Linked DNA regions of Macaca mulatta. The protein of the gene in region 1 purifies or fractionates together with the protein of each later gene. This does not show direct contact. Links are inferred from orthologs where the notes say so. Each region holds a gene or a part of one and is shown in the gene's direction. Other genes may lie near its edges. The genes, in order: MYO1E and OSTF1.

The links.
Region 2: the proteins of MYO1E (region 1) and OSTF1 purify together in Homo sapiens (co-immunoprecipitation; 3 studies listed by BioGRID and IntAct, counting the BioPlex papers as one, with this or other methods). This does not show direct contact. The link is inferred for Macaca mulatta from reciprocal best matches to the Homo sapiens genes MYO1E and OSTF1.

What each region holds. Positions count from the first base shown.
Region 1 is NC_133412.1:36,535,593-36,539,423, reverse strand, and holds part of MYO1E (unconventional myosin-Ie), read left to right. Parts: intron 1-3,091; coding exon 3,092-3,288; intron 3,289-3,831. UniProt on the Homo sapiens protein: Actin-based motor molecule with ATPase activity. Unconventional myosins serve in intracellular movements. Their highly divergent tails bind to membranous compartments, which are then moved relative to actin filaments.
Region 2 is NC_133420.1:106,157,245-106,161,075, forward strand, and holds part of OSTF1 (osteoclast-stimulating factor 1), read left to right. Parts: intron 1-309; coding exon 310-360; intron 361-3,156; coding exon 3,157-3,220; intron 3,221-3,831.

The sequences.
Region 1 (3,831 bases):
AAGTGTGGTGATTAGAGGCGTGAGCCACCACGCCTGGCCAAACAAGCTTTGTTTTTACCTGTCCTTAGACTAATGGAAGTATAGCATTTCCTTGGTGAAATCTTTATGTTGCTGTGAAGCCAAACAAACCTCACCTTAGGCACACGTGTACCTGTCCAACAGCAATGCAGTGAGGTGGCAGGTATTACATACCAAATTAACCTAAGAATTTTAATGAAAGAACAAGTCACTATTTTGATAACAGTGGGGAGGAAAAGTAGAGTTGATAGCGCCCCTCCTTTACCCCATTATTATTCACGGATTACAAAGCACAGAAACTCAACACCAAGGACAGACAAACCTTTTTTTATCATGCTGAGTCTTTTAAATTTGTAAAAATTGAATTTTATTTTTGCTACATCTTTTTGGTGTTTCTCTATTCCCTATATTTCAAATTTAGGTGGAAAAATTAAACCTAACTTTGCTTTACACTTTAATGCAGTAATAGTAATCTATCTTCATTATTTAAATGTGTGGAAATACTACTTTTTAGCAGGTTCTTCTATGTTTTCCATGACTCTGATTAACTATATCAGAGTTACACACCCACATTTTAAAATTAATCATTGCTTTCTCCCTCCCTCTCCCTCTCCAGTTCTCCAAGCTTCCATACTGACACTCCTGTCCAGACACACTCACAACTGCCTCATGGAAACTCACAGCCTGAAGAAAGCCAATATTAGCAGCCCTGTAATTTCAGCATTAGGGCAGGCACTGAAGAAAATATGAGGCCATAAAAGTTTGAAAAACATGGCATGGATTCTTTTTCAAGCCAAGCGATGTATTTCCTTTCTAGTGTCCTTCGCTATTTCCCTAAGCTTGTGACTGTGATTCTTGGCCCAGTTCCATTCCTTGTGTTGTGAGTGCTTGCAGCTCTCCATGCCCTCTTCTGCAGAAAAGGACCACAAGATGGAAGTAGAGCGTGTGTCTTTGTCGTCCCTTCTCGCTCTTTTGTCTCCGGGACTCTCATCTTAGCCCTTATTGTTGTATCTCTTTAGCAAAGGTCATAAAGATAATGGCATAAACATCTTAGTCAAATATTTTAACCATGTGGGAACGTGGTTAGGGCTTAGGAGAAAGCCATATTTACAAGACAGATTGAGGCTAATTATTCATTTTATGAACCTATTCACTGTATAGTTCCTATAAACAATGAGAGGAGCTCTTGTGACTGTCCTGTAAACTGCTGAGGATGATGTCCACTGCATCAAGTGAGATATCACTCTGATAATAAAACCAACAGGATACTCTTCCCTTAGTGAAGGCTTCTTATATGTTGGATATGTTGGTAAACGTCTGTTGATTCTCACAACAACCCGACATGGGTGCAATCTGATTTATGAATGTCATCTGTCCTTACTCTGTGCACAGGAAGTTTTAGTTCACTGGAAGACACACCCAGATTCCTAGACATGTGTTTAACACTAAAACTAAGTACAATGGCCATTTTCAGATCAGTGCATTTGATTTTGTTTACATGTCTTTTCTAAAAGGAAGCCCTTCTATTGCTCAAAGCATTTTTATGAAACACTCATATAGAGGATAAATGTCTTGTTCTGGCATTATACGTTTTCAAAATGTATTCACTGACTTATTCTCATTGGAAGGTGTACACTGAGAAATGTCAGCTCGTTATATTCTAACACCATCTGTGAAATTCAAACAGATTATCTTTTATTGGGAGGCTTGTGATTTTTTAGCATTATCATAAGGCCTTTAACAAAATTCTTTTATCAGATAATTTTGGTGAAGCATTATGCAAAAAAAGAAAACTCATAGCCAAGTTCAAAATTTCCATTGCATCTATAAAAATCTTTCATTCATATTGGAAAAATCTGAGCATTCTTTCATGTCGAAGAATGGTGTCATTTATTTATATGAGAACGGTCTGCCCAGAAATCAGGAAAACCCCATTTATATCACTAGCCCTCCTTAGTTAAGTTTCATGGTCTGAAACAAGATGTTGAGCTATGGAAGTCTCTGTTTTTCTATCCAAAGACCACAAACTACCATACTATGTGACATTAGGGCAGGATATGAACATCCCCTTCATTTCACTCTATATGCTACCCTCAGAGGAATCTTCTTATAATGCCCCTCTTTATTAGCCATCAGGCCCCCTTTTGCCTCCAGCCCAAATATATCATACCATGCAAGGACCGCCAGCATTGGAATCTGTCCTAACCTTTTTAATCTGACCTGAACTTTCAGCGGCAGCCAGTGCTAGTCCACACACCGTAGCCCGCGTCTCGTCTCTATCATGTCTCCCACACTTCTGCTTCCTCCCCTTGGTACACTCCCTTCTCCTCTCTGCATCTGTACAAATCCTATTTATCCTTTACACCCAGCTCAAATCTCTTGACTACCCCAGCAAGTAGTAATATCTTCCTGTTCTAATTTCTCCACATCTTGTCTGTCTGTGTTACATATTCAGCTTTTCCAAGGGTTCTTTATTTGGCAAACTATTTTTTGCCTCGTCTAGATTGCTTTCAAGATTTCTTACATATTTTCTATTCTTTCCTCCCTCTTTAGTAACCCTACACGTGCTAAATACTCAATAAACATGGGATTAGTAAACATGGTAATTATTAGTTCAGTAATATCAGGTGCTTCAAAAATGGTGCTATGAAAACATTGTACTAAAAAGGAAGAAAACAATATTTGGAGCCAAAGAAATGTTTCTTGATTGAGTTCCTTCCGGGCTGTCTTGCTGGAAGCTTGGAGAGATGTCCATGTTAGGCATTTAACTGTGATCTCGGTAGGAGGGATAGGTTTGCCATCCTTCTTGGATCCCTGATTTGTATTATTGGAAGTCTCAGTCATCCTAGGAATTGACTCATGTAATAAAACAATTGGGAAGAACAAAGGAGATGGATGTGTGTGGGATTACTGATAAGCAGCCTTCACTAGAACATAAGCTCTTGGGGCCTGTGACTGTGCCTTCTATGTATACACATGTGCATGTGCACATAAGTGCCTCCATATGTTTGTGAGATGAATTGGAAGTGTCCCAATTCTGAAAGATTGTCATGTTTTGTTTTATGTTCTACAGTTTTAGCTTTTCCTGCATATCTGCTAGGGATAAACCAGGACCGGTTGAAAGAAAAGCTAACAAGCCGGCAGATGGATAGCAAGTGGGGAGGCAAATCCGAATCCATCCACGTGACCCTCAATGTGGAGCAGGCCTGTTACACCCGGGATGCGCTCGCCAAGGCCCTGCACTCCCGGGTTTTTGATTTCTTGGTAGATGTAAGTAACACAAGTTGATGTTGGTGATGCTTCATATCTTAGCTATAAAGAGTCAAACTAGTAGGCTGGGCGCGGTGGCTCACACCTGTAATCCCAGTACTCTGAGAGGCCAAGCTGGGAGGATCGCTGCAGCCCAGGAGTTTGAGACCAGCCTCTGCAACGTGGTGAGACCCCGTCTCTACAAAAAACACAAAAATTAACCAGGTGTGGTGGCAGGTGCCTGTGGTCCCAGCTACTCAGGAGGCGGAGGTGGGAAGATCACTTAAGCCTGGGAGGTCAAGGCTGCAGTGAGCCGAAATTGTGCCACTGTACTGCAGCCTGGGGGGCAGAGTGAGATCCTATCTCCAAAAAAAAAAAAAAAAAGTAAAATGACTAATGGTTTTGTGTTCCTGTTCTGGCTCCTTCCTTTCACCCATTACTTTACTTCGCTTTCTGTCCTCTCACTCTGCAATCACTGAATCCTGCATTTCCTTCTAGAACTGCCCAACAAGATACCTTAGCTAAATCTAATATGGTAACAAGTTTCTTCTGGACAAAATATTC
Region 2 (3,831 bases), on another chromosome or scaffold:
TTTAGAATTTCTACAAGGAAGAAGTTTTATTAATATTCTATTTTGATATACAAATGTTTTGCTTTGGTTGTAGAAGAATACAAGATGTGTTGGAGAATCTTTATATATGTAATTCTTTGAAGTTCATCATGGGAAAAAATCTATTCATGTATTAATTTTTCAGTAGTGTTTTATTATATGGCTTATGTGCTGATTTAAGTGTATAAAACCACATTATTTATTAGAATATGATAGAATTTTGAATCTATATAATGATTATATTCTAATTCATGAAAAATCACATGGAGTCAAACTTTTTTTTTCTTCTAGCCAGATGAATTATACTTTGAGGAAGGTGATATTATCTACATTACTGACATGGTAAGTCCAGATAATATCTTGTAATACCACATATAAAGAGTGTTTTATGTAGCTATAACATTGTAAGTTATTTAAATGTATATGTACACAGAAATACATATGTACAAGTCTGTTCATTTTAGCACAATTGATAGTAGCATAAGATTGAAAGTAGCCCTTATCTCCATCAATAGGAAAAGAGTTGAATAAGCTTTGGTCTATCGACAAACAGAATATTATGCAGCTATAGAAAGAAATGGGGAATATCTCTATATGCTATTATGAAGTGATTTAAGTGAAAAAAAAGCAAAGTGAGAAAATATAGATAGTATATCCTCACTTTTTAGGAAAGGGTGAGAGTGTATGTATACACACACACACGCAGACCCTTGTTTTTCTCAATTTCGAATAAAAAATTGAAAGATGAGTTGCGAAGTAAAATTTAGTTTTATTCTGTGAAGAGTAAATATCCTTTCTCTAGGTGGAGGGAGGGAAATAGGGTATAATGGACATAGATGGAAGATAGACTTTTTGGGAAATTATACCTTGTTTTGTGAATTTGACTTTGAACTGATGTAAACCTTGACATAGTTAAAAATTGGAGTAAAAAGCAATCCCTAAAAATTAAAAGCAGAATGAATCAAATGACCTTAATTGTACTCTGGTAATTGACATAACCACACAGAGAGGAAATATTCCAAGTTTAAAACTCAGCAATTTGACTGAACATCCATAGTAGAATATGGATATATATATATATATGAGGAATATATATATGAAGAACATATATACGAAGAATATATATATGAAGAACATATATATATGAAGAATATATATATGAAGAACATATATATACATATGAAGAATATATATATGAAGGACAAAAAGAACTGGCCAAAAAAGGGTAAATTGATTTAAATCATGCCCTTGTTAGGGAAATGTTGGTATTGCTAAGTCTGAGATTGTTGCAGGTGTATTGTGGTTTAGAGCAAATGAGTCATTAGGTTGGTGATGTTGCTAACGGATTTTCAGCATGGCAAAAAGGATACAAGATTAATGACAGATATAAGATTAATGACAGTTTAAGAAAAGCTCTGTATTCCTTCATCTGAATTGGAAGGATCACATTGTATTTTATCTAAAATAAAACGAAAATATTCCCTGCTGTGTTCTTTGAAAGGGCCTAGGAAAAATGACCAACCCAATAATAATATGTTATTTTCCATTGAAACGAACAGGCTTCTTTGAGAAATGGTTAGTACCAACTCAGGGGCAGCAGAGGTACAAGATAAACCCAGAACATCCTCTTATTAGAAACCATGGAAGCTCCCAAAGACAGTAGGGTCATAATGAAAGGACTTGGGAACTAACTTGAAGAGACTCCCACTGGCCAAAGATAGGACAATTTGAGCATCAATTAGGGCAACAACTTTCAAGAATTGAAACATATTCAATACATTTAAATTTATGAGTTCCTAATGTTACTTCTGAACAAATCTCATTGGTCAGCATGAGAGAATGCTAGGAAACCAGGTTTTTATTCTGACAACCGTTAAGGGGAAGAATCCCCATTTATTCTGTGTTTTCTTTATGAATTTCTTATCTGGGCAACCTGAGAGTTGATGAGGAAGTTTTTGTTTGAAGAGGTATTCAGGTTATTTCAATGAAGAAGGAATGATAGAATTAGCATGTCACCATCTTGCAGCCCCCAGGAAATAGTGGATCTAGACAATGATCATCAAAGGCTACCAACATTATGAAAAGAAGCCGACTAGATAGTACGCGTTTCCCAATGGAAGAAATCAGTACTGCCTAGGAAATAGCTTTGCCAAAAAACATTGAAGCTGAATCTAATTAAACCTCTAGAACGAATGACCAATTTATAGGCAATACAGGGAACAGAGGAACATGTTTAATGATAACACAGGGATACAACAGGCAAAATCCATAGAGGTTGAAACTACAGGACAAACCAACTGGATTCTTCAACAAATATATTTCTAAGAGATAAAAAAGAATGGAGAGACAACCTTTAGATTAAAAGATACTTAAAAGACAAATCAATCATATTGTATAGCCCTTATTTGAATCCCAAATTATGGGGCAGTTGGGAAATTTGAGTATTGACCTTGAGTATTGTTGGAAAAAACTTTTAAGCTGTGATAATGGCATTATAATTGTCTTTCAAAAAGTATGTATCTTTCCGAGATACATACTGAAATATTTACAAATGAAATAATATGATGTCTAGAATTTATTTTGAAATAATCCAGGAGGGGAGTGAGGTCGTGGGGGCATATATGAAACAATATTGATCATTAAGAAATAATTTGTGCAGTTGGGAAATGGGTATATATAAGGTCGTTACATTGTTCTCTTTTTTTATAAGTTTAAATTTTTCTATGGTAAAAAGTTACCCCCAAAATGAAGATAATATAAAGAGATCTTTAGAACTTCCTCCCCCATAAAAAATATTATCTCGGAGCTAAGAGAAATGAAACTGTGGACACAAAATCATATAGCTAGTCTAAACTAGCGTAATTTGTTTTCTTCTGTTTCGTATCATCTCTGATTTGTTTGTTTGTTGGGACTCTGTCATGAAACGTATTCCATTTGTTGCAGGCAGATGCACATTTATTTGTGACTTAGTGGTAAGGGAGACAGACACCCACAGCTAGGCTGTGAGGAAACTTGACAGTGTGGGTAGGGTTGACGGACATTTTGTAGAACAGGTACTCCCTAGGAGCCAAATAATTTGAAAAGTGAATGAATGCAGTCTGGATTTCACACCGCTTAATTTAACTCTTCTTTTACCAGAGTGACACCAACTGGTGGAAAGGCACCTCCAAAGGCAGGACTGGACTAATTCCAAGCAACTATGGTAAGTGTTGCTGAGTGGTTTTATTCAGCTATTCTTCGTTCACTTGGAATTTTTTTGGTTCTTGAGGCTTCTCTGCTTGCTGCTGTGGCTGAGAAGGCAATGGAGTCACTGTCAGTCTCGGACATTTTCCATTCCATGAGCCTCCTGTTAATAAACTGGTCATGACCACCAGATGTGCTTGAGCCTGACTGTGTGGCCTAAGAGAAAGCATTATAGCATTCTTAACCCAAGGTTTCCGAGAACGCTTATGGTTTTACTTTCTTCAGCTCCTAAAACAATTGTTTTTAATGCTGATAAACTCAATCTTGCAGATCGTTTCTTAGACTAGCCCTTTCTTTTGTGATGGAGTAACACGACCTTGTTAATTCATGTTCGGGGCAGTGACGTTCATTAAATGCTTATCGTGGCAGTCTGGGGACCTTGAGAGAGGAGAGACACGGCTCCCGCCATGAAGCTGCTTCTAGCTGCAAGTGGCACAAATGGACAAAACACTTATTTAGTTGTCAGCAGAATAAAGTCAAAAGAGCACAGAATTGATAAACAAGGCTCCTGAGTTTTAATCCTTTTTCTTCCATTTCCTAATAACACTCCCTACTGATTCTAGGACAGCA